2 linked regions of the Cricetulus griseus genome follow. The protein of the gene in region 1 purifies or fractionates together with the protein of each later gene. This does not show direct contact. Links are inferred from orthologs where the notes say so. Each region holds a gene or a part of one and is shown in the gene's direction. Other genes may lie near its edges. The genes, in order: Pld2 and Dnajc7.

Region 1 (4,470 bases):
GCGGATCTCTGTGAATTCGAGGCCAGCCTGGTCTCCAGAGTGCCAGGATAGGCTCCAAAGCTACACAGAGAAACCCTGTCTCAAACAAACAAACAAACAAACAAAAGAACAACAAACAAAAAGAAACCTGTCTTAAAAAAAAGAAAAAGAATGTAAAATAGAAGAGCCATTTTGAAAGGGGTTTTTATTTTCAACTTTTTCTTTGCTTTTATTTTGTGTATATGCATGTTTTGTGTGTGCAGCGTCTATGGAGGCAAGAAGAGGGCATTAGATCCCCTAAAACTGGAGTTACATCTATTTGTGAGCAGCCATATGGATGCTGGGAATCGAACTTAGGTCCTCAGCCAGTACCCTTAAGCACAGAACCATCTCTCCAGATCCTTTTTTGGGGGTGGGGGGTGGGGGTGCTTTTCTGTGAAGCTTCAGCAGGCCTCCACTCCCAAGCTTTACAGTCCTCTTGCCACATTCTCTTTGCTGCTGGGCTACAAACTGTCAAGCCCAAGCCCAGGTCTTGACAGTCTTCTATAAGTTAAACATACACTTATATGATCCAGTAATTCCACTCTAGTTATTTACCGAAGAGAAATGACTGGTACATAAATGTTTATGGGAGCTTTATTTCCCGAGGACGAAAACTAAAACAACTCAAATGTTTATCAGTGGAAATGTAGAAGAAAACAAAGAAGGAAGAGAGGGAGGGAGGGAGGGAATGAAAGAAGGAAGGGAAGACAGACTGATGACCTTTAGGATCTGAAAAAAAAAAAATGTTGTTTTAGACTGGAACTTACAAGTCAGCATGTTCTGGGCTGCTACCGTACCTCAATGTCTGGCTAATCTCTACTGAGCAATAAACGTTTAGTGAAAGAAGAATGAGACTTTTCATACTGCAACGAACTTGTAGTCACCATCCTTCTGGCTTTTTAATCTCTTCTTACCTCCCATCAACAAATGCTATCTGTACAGGGCTCAGCAAGGGGACACCAGCAGGTCCTCTCTCGCCACCGAGGCCAGTTCCGCCCAGATTCCAGGCAGCGCTGGAGACCAGACAACCCAAGGCCCGCGCGCGCGCAGTAGAGGAACGTGAGCAGGGTGGATCACACACTCGGGGATGCTGGACTTCCCAGCTCGGCACCCCCGAGGGCATCCAGCGGGAGAGGACGGCCCTGGGGAGGGGGCGGCCCCGGGAGTGGGCGGCCCCGGGAGTGGGCGGGCCGGGCTGGGCCGGGCCGGGGCGTCTATATCGCTGCGCCCGTAGAAGGCGGCGGGGGCGGGACGCGGCTGATGCGCCACCCGCGGAGGTGAGGCCCTGAGCCCCGGTCCCGCCCCGACCCTCTGGGGTGTGGGCTCCTCTCTGAGTTCTGCTCCCGGTGCTTGCGAACCCGCGCGGGTGCGGGCGCCCGCAGCCAGGGTGAGGGGCCGGGGACGTGGCGCGGCTGAGATCGGCGACGGGGTCCAGCTGGAGCTGCTCCGGCCTTCTGACTCAACCGCACACTCAGATTTCGGGATTTCTCTGCTGGGCGGGGAACGCGTCGTAACTTCCTCATTCCCGCCGGGACCCTCGCTTCCAGCCCGTCTGGCCTGACTTTGAGCCCAGCTGTCACCGGGATTCCTCCCTTGGACTTACCTCGCCCCAGTTCGAGGCTATCCCAGCTTGGCTAGGTGCTTCTTGGACCCTGAATACGGAATGAGAGGCAGGGCTGGGGGTTGCAGAGATGGGAGGCTAGAGGGGCGTCGGTCTGCAACTGTAGAAGTTGGGAGTCAGCTGAATGAGATGGGTGAGGGCCGGGGGCGTTAGGATAGGGAAGGGTGTTTCTGTATGGGCGAGTCCCTTCCTGAGGCTTCCTCATATTCCTAGGATGACTGCAACCCAGGAGAACCTCTTTCCCTATGGGGACTACCTGGACTCCAGCCAGTTGCACATGGAGCCAGATGAAGTTGACACTCTGAGGGAAGGAGAGGATCCAGGTACACAAGGAGATGGCCCCCACAGAGGGGAGGATAGGGATCTGGGTCTCCTGAGATCTACACCCTTGGGCTTTTTTTTTTCCCTCCCAGCTGATCGAATGCACCCCTTTCTGGCCATCTACGACCTTCAGCCCCTGAAAGTGCACCCCTTGGTGTTTGCCCCTGGTGTCCCGGTTACAGCCCAGGTGGTGGGCACTGAAAGATACACCAGTGGATCCAAGGTGGTTGGGCTGGTACCATGGAGGGTGGGAGAGGGAGGCCTGGCCAAAGTGGAGGGTTGGGTTGGGCCGGAAGACTCTGAAGACATGATTTTCAGATTTTTATACCCCCAGGTGGGAACCTGTACTCTATATTCTGTCCGCCTGACTCATGGTGACTTTACCTGGACAACCAAGAAGAAATTCCGACACTTTCAGGAGCTGCATCGGGACCTCCAGAGACACAAAGTCTTGATGAGTCTGCTCCCTTTGGCTCGGTGAGTGGGACTAGAGTGCTTCCTGTAAAAGGCAGACAGATAGTCCTCACCCCATGGCAGTCTTTACTCCTGTCTGCCTATCTCACCCCCAACCTACTGTAACCTTTTCTTCACAGCCATTTTCCTTCCCCCAGCTCTGTGCTGGACCCTGGTTCCCAAGAAACTTCCTCTGGTTCTCTTTGTCCATGGTACTATGCCAACATTTCAGCCAGGCTGGATGCCCAAAATGTCCTTGGCAACACCCCACCCCACTTGTCTCCACTCCCAGGATAGAGACCCTTTCTTCTGCCAGCCTTTCTCCCACTCCAAGGCCCTGTCTCCAGTGTTTCAGGCATCTAGCTTGCCAGCTCTTCCCTGAGCCTTCTCTTACCTCCTGTATAGCTTTGCTGTGGCCAGTTCTCCAGCCCGAGAGGCAGCCAATGAGGACATTCCCTCCCTACCCCGAGGAGGTTCTGAGGGCTCCACCAGACACACAGCCAGCAAGCAGGTATGACCTAACACCAGGTCCTGTAGCAAGGTGTTGTAGTATGCACAAGGCTCTGGCTACATCTGTTTCTTTCCCACCCCCATTCAGAAATACCTGGAAAATTACCTCAACCGCCTCCTGACTATGTCTTTCTATCGAAATTACCATGCCATGGTAAGGTCCAGTGTCTAGATGCCTGGGTGTATCTCTCTCTCTCTCTCTCTCTCTCTCTCTCTCTCTCTCTCTCTCTCTCTCTCTGTCCCTGTCTCTCTCTCTCTCCAGGGTCTTACTGTGTAACCCTGACTGGCCTGGAACTAACTACTGTAGACCAGGCTGGATTTGAATGGACAGAGATCTATCTGCCTCTGCCTCCCCAAGTGCTGGGAGTAAAAGCCTGTGCCATCATGTCCTAGGATGCCTGGGGTTTTTTAATTAGATGACGACAAAGGGGCAGAATAAGTAAGGCTAAGGGGCTAAAAAGCCAAGTCTCCTCCTGAGCTTATTTCTTCCTCTGCAGACAGAATTTCTAGAAGTCAGTCAACTTTCCTTTATCCCAGACCTCGGCTCCAAAGGACTGTGAGTGTGGGAATCCCCCGCCTAGCCTTCTGCAGACATCAGTCCCCATCTACCTGCTTGAAAAACATGTAGTATGAGTGCGTAGAGTCCCCAACTCTCCCGATTGTCCCTGTAGGGAAGGGGTGATCAGGAAGCGCTCAGGCGGGCATCGAGTTCCTGGCTTCACCTGCTGTGGCCGAGACCAAGTTTGTTATCGATGGTCCAAGAGGTGAGGGCTGGAATTGAGCAGGGGTCTGTGGGCAGGTGAAGAGGGAACTCTGGAGGACCTTGACAGTATACACAGCCCTTCCCCTCCAGATGGCTGGTGGTGAAGGACTCCTTCCTGTTGTACATGCGCCTGGAGACTGGCACCATCTCATTTGTTCAGCTTTTCGACCCTGGCTTTGAGGTGCAGGTGGGGAAAAGGAGCACAGAGGCTCGGTATGGGGTGAGGATCGACACCTCCCACAGGTAAGGCCTCCCTGGTGTGAGAGCCTTCTGTGACCTGAGGGGAGTTGAGCTGGAGACACCATGGGGGAGAGGAAAGCTTCTCAGTCCTCCATGTCCTGGTCCAGCCAGAGCTTTGAATCAGGGAACTAGTCTATCCATATATTTAGGATACTCCTAGAGTAAGGGCCTATAGTGCAGGGGTTTGGAGGCTAGAGAGAGAAGAGTGGATAGTGGTCTTGCAGAGGCCCCGAGTTCCGTTCCTTGCACCCACATTGGGTGGCTTATGCCCACCCATAACTGGAGCTTATGCCCACTGGTAACTCCAGCTCTAGTGAGGCTGATACCCTCTTCTGAATTCGGTGGGCATCTTCACTCACACCTGCACACACACATGCACACATGCACACTAAAGACATAAAAAAGAAAAGGAGCCGGGCATGGTAGTGCTTACCTGTAATCCTAGCCTTTGGGAGGCTGAGCCAGGAGGACTGGCTCTGTAGAACCGGAGCTCTATAGTGAAACTCTGCCTTAAAAAGAAGAGTGAGAGAGAAGAGGAAGG
Region 2 (4,482 bases), about 29 Mb from region 1:
GGGAATCTGAAACCCTCTTCTGGCCTCTGCAGACACCTGCACATACCTGGTATGCACTCACAAAGATACATGCACACACACACACACACACACACACACACACACACACACACACACACACTTTTTTTTTTTAAATGTCTAGGCAACAGGAAGAATTGAAAGTTGGGATGAAGTTAAAGCTGGGAGAGTAGATAAGTTCAGCTACAAACGATAGTTAGAAAAAAGTTTTAAAAAAATTGGTCTGTGAATTAGACTGTGTACTGTGAGGTGAGCCACTGGCAAGCAGTGTGGGTGGTGAGGTTTTTGCCATCCCACCCCCAACCAACAGTGCAAGTAAAGGCTGAATGACCTCTCTCAGTCCACTGAGCTCCAGCTCTCATTTTCTAGCCAGTGGACCCTATGGTTTCAATTCCCTCACTAATGAATAAGTAAGGATCTACAAAACAGGGTAGGGGCCTTCATACAGTTTTCCTTAATGGGCATAGACACCTAAAATTCCACTGTCTTATTTTCATTCTTTTTGTCTTAAAATCACAACCTCTAGGTCATCTCCTCTGCCTCATTTAACCTCAGAGCCCCCCCCCCCAATTTAATTCAACTCCACACATACTGTTGGGTGTAGTAGTGGTTCTACAAAAAAAATGATTAGCCTGTCTTCCCAATCCAGGCCGCATTTGGCCAGACAAAGTGTGCTGGGTAGAGTTTATGAGACGCAGGAGTACAGGGGACACTAAGGAAAGGGGACCTCACCCCATGAGCTGCCTTATAAACTCCAAGGCAGGGGCTGGGGCGCCATGTCATCCTCTCTAGACTTAACGCTGAGATGGCACTCCCAAGCGGTTGACATGAAAGCGGCCTCATAAAAGGGTCCGCGTCATTGGGATGATGAACCAGCAGGCGCTTGGAGACCCGTGGAGGATGAAAGGCGCAGGGTGAAGACGCCCTGCGTTCCCCTCGCTTGGCTGGGCAGGGCTTCCAGCCGCCGATGAAAGCTGGGGCACTGGGCTCAAAGCGGCTCTTTATGCCTTTGCGGGGAGGACGCGGTGGACACACTCCAGGGTCGGCAGGTAGCCGTACAGGCCTTCCTCACCGCAGCCGTCTCGGGTGACCCACCTCCACCCACCCACCTACCCACCCGGGGCTCGGCGGCTTCACCGGAGGAGACTCTCTAGGTTTGCAAGTTGTTATGGCAACCAGGCTGTCGGGATACTGAGGCAAGCCGAGGCCTAGAGAGGCAACACCCTTCTGTACCGGCCTCCTATCCGCGAGTAAAGTGGCGCCCCCTACGCACAGGAGCCGTCCCTGGGCCCCCGCCCCAGGGCGGAGACCACCGTGGACCTCCCGGGATGGGAGGCCGCTCTGGCCCCAAGCGGAGCCTCTCGTTGGTAGACGGGCTCGAGGTAGTCCCTCTGGGCGCGGCGCTGCTGAGCGGCTCGATGCTCCGGCCGGAAGTGCTCTTCACCGCCTGCCTCCCACCCGGCTCTCTGGTCCCGGCGGTAAGATGGCGGCTACCGCGGAGTGCGATGTGGTAATGGCGGGGACCGAGCCTGAACTGCTAGAGGACGAAGAAGCAAAGAGGTAACCGGGTGGTAGGATAACGGGGGAGGCGGGCTTGGGGTTTGTGAATCCGGGGAGGCCGACGCGGCAGCCGCCGAATGTGGAGACGATACCCAGCCTTCTGCAGATTGCCTCCCCCCCTCCCCTCCCCGATCTGAGCCGGAGTCGACATAGGCCCCCCCTGAAGGGACGTTCTCAGGGGTCGCCTTTCCCCCTGTGCTGCTTCCGCCTCGCGGGGTGCTGAGGCACGGCCTAGTTCTGCCGTCGGGAAGAAGGTCGTCCTCATTGTGGAGGCCGGGGTGGAACCTCCGAGGTCGGCTGCAGGGTGGGGGAGGCGTCGCGGCATCGATGACGACTTCCTTAACATAGCCCCAGCCTCCGCCTGCTCCGCTGGTGAACTTGTGCGTATTGTTGTCTGTCCTCCTTTCCCTCAGTAATTACACCCAGTGGTCATTAGTGTGGGGCCGAGGAGATTGTGTGCCTCCAGGTATTGACCTGGTCGCCCCCTCCCCCCCCATTGACGTAGAAATTAAAATCGGATAGGCAGAAGGACGAATGAGGGCCTCGTCTCAGACTGTACGGGTCAGACGCTGCTTCACCTCTCGTCCCAAGGCGATCCTAAGCTCAGGGAGGACAGCTGTTTAGATGCAGTTGGCACTGCTGGGCAGCTGCAGTAGCGCGAGATGATTGCCAGTCTGGACTAGCCTAGGGAGCTGCTGAGTGAGTGGTTTTCAAGAACACTGTGAATTCTGGCACCAGCTAAGGACAGGTTTTTGAAGCGAGGTTGGAACACAGTTAAGAGCAGGCGTACTTGCTCTGATACCAAAGGTGAACTGATTGCCTTATCAGTTGCAGATTCATTCCATCTGTTGTTCAGAATGGACTTCAGTGCCCTCTGTCTTCTAACCATGTGCTTCGTATGTTCGTACTAAGCCTGTGGGGGTATGTTTTCAGTCTGAATAATTTGAGATGATGAGAGAATCTGATCAGGAGATCTACCAACCAGGATTCTGAGGTGTTTGCTGTCGAAGTTAGAAATACAAAAGGGTACTCGGGGAGCTGCAGGGAATATTGCAGTTATCAAGTGTGTGGGTTGGAAGCTGAGAGGCTTGACAAAGCGCAGTTGATCCCTGAGATATCCGTCTAGTCTCCTTCGTTTTGAGTTTCCACATCATTCCAGTGGTTTGGAGTTAAGCACCATCGGCTCATACCTTTCTTAAGGAATTGCAAAATGAGAAGGGAAGCCCTTTGCTAACACAAGCAGCTTAAGCTTATTTTACCTGGATTTAGGAAGAATTTGGTGCTTCTCACTGTTGTAAATAGGGACTTTGGCCATATGTCATTCAAGGAATATATTGTACTTGGTGTAAATCTATAGGGAGTGTCCCTCATTCGGACTTTAGACAGGGGTCTGTGCGGACCAGCCAGCCTTGAACTCACAGAGATCGATCTATCTGCCCCTGCCACCCAAGTGCTGGGATCGAAGGTGTGCACCATCATGCCTGGCTAGATTGCACTTCTCTAAAGCAAATTCTCTCCTTAAAGTGAAACAAAACAGCTTTAGAAAGTGTTTTGTCATGAAATGGTAGTAAATGAATACGGAGAGACCTATCAAGAAATTTGAAGGCTGACTGGGGTGGCACACATCTGTAATCCCTGCACTTAGGGGACTGAGGCAGAAAGAACTAGAACTTGTCATTCTGGATTTTAAAGTAAGAGTCTGTCTCAAAACAAAACAAGCCAGACTGGTGGTGCTCACTTTAATCCAGCACTTGGGAGGCAGAGGCGAGCGGGCTGTTTGTAAGATCAAAGGAAGCCTGGTCTACACAACTACAGGCTAGCCAGGGCTACATGTTAAGATTCTTTTGTGGATGTGTGTTGGGTGGGTGGGTGGGTGGTACAACATCATGTGAACCATGGTGTTTGGTTAACTGCCTTTTTTGTGGAATTTAGTTTGTCATTGATTGTAAAACAGTTATCTACCACTGTAGCAGGCTTTCTTTTAGGCTACTAACCAGCTCCCAAATCATGACATGGAGACTTATTATTAATTATGAATGCTCGGCTTATCTTATGCTTGTCCCACTAGCTCTTGTAACTTAATTTGACCTGTTTCTCTTCATCTACACTTTGCCTCAGGGCTTTTAACCTTTCTTCTGTGTGTCCTGCTATTCCATGTTTGGTTAACTGGTGGCTGGCTGGCTGGCTGGCCCTAGGCATCTTCCTCTCTTTCTCCCTCGTTCTCTCTCCAACCTACTCATTCTCTGCCTGCCAGCCCTGTCTATCCCTCTTCTGCACGACTATTGGCCATTCAGCTTTTTATTAGACCAGTTAGGTACCTTAGGCAGGCAAGGTAAAACAGCAACACATCTTACATAACTAAAGTAATATTCCACAACATACCACCAAGTCAACTTAATTGTAAAATAAAAGTGAAAAATGTGTTTTTCTTTAAAGATTTATTTTATTGTGTATAGTGTTCTGCCTGCATGTATGCCTGCAGGCCAGAAGAGGGCACCAGATTCCATTACAGATGGTTGTGAGCCACGTGTGGTTGCTGGGAATTTGAACCCAGTACCTTTGGAAGAGCAGACAGTGCTCTTTACCTCTTGACCATCTCTCCAGCCCGAAAGATGTTTCCTTAAACAGACATGTTATATATATTTATGGAGTTCAAATTTTAAGCCTGCTGAAACTGATTATTCAGTTTTATATGTTCCTTATATACCAGTTGTGTATATAAACCAAAAAGGAAATGACTTAAATCACTTTGACCTCCACTGTGTAAGGCATCATCAGAAGAATAAGCGTTAGGTGAGCATAGTGGTGTACATCTTTAATCCCAGCACTCAGGAGGTAGAGGTGGTCGGATCTCTGTGGGTTCAAGGCCAGCCTGGTCTACAGAGCGAGTTCCAGGACAGCCAG

The links.
Region 2: the proteins of Pld2 (region 1) and Dnajc7 purify together in Homo sapiens (affinity purification with mass spectrometry; 3 studies listed by BioGRID and IntAct, counting the BioPlex papers as one, with this or other methods). This does not show direct contact. The link is inferred for Cricetulus griseus from reciprocal best matches to the Homo sapiens genes PLD2 and DNAJC7.

Annotation. Positions count from the first base shown.
Region 1 is NC_048600.1:84,350,908-84,355,377, forward strand, and holds the start of Pld2 (phospholipase D2), read left to right. Parts: upstream 1-1,466; 5' UTR 1,467-1,659; intron 1,660-1,855; 5' UTR 1,856-1,856; coding exon 1,857-1,965; intron 1,966-2,055; coding exon 2,056-2,186; intron 2,187-2,199; exon of another isoform or gene 2,200-2,297; coding exon 2,298-2,440; exon of another isoform or gene 2,441-2,462; intron 2,463-2,708; exon of another isoform or gene 2,709-2,821; coding exon 2,822-2,927; intron 2,928-3,014; coding exon 3,015-3,080; intron 3,081-3,423; coding exon 3,424-3,482; intron 3,483-3,535; exon of another isoform or gene 3,536-3,597; coding exon 3,598-3,690; exon of another isoform or gene 3,691-3,715; intron 3,716-3,779; coding exon 3,780-3,932; intron 3,933-4,362; exon of another isoform or gene 4,363-4,438; intron 4,439-4,470.
Region 2 is NC_048600.1:113,667,560-113,672,041, reverse strand, and holds the start of Dnajc7 (dnaJ homolog subfamily C member 7), read left to right. Parts: upstream 1-1,420; 5' UTR 1,421-1,501; coding exon 1,502-1,578; intron 1,579-4,482. UniProt on the Homo sapiens protein: Acts as a co-chaperone regulating the molecular chaperones HSP70 and HSP90 in folding of steroid receptors, such as the glucocorticoid receptor and the progesterone receptor.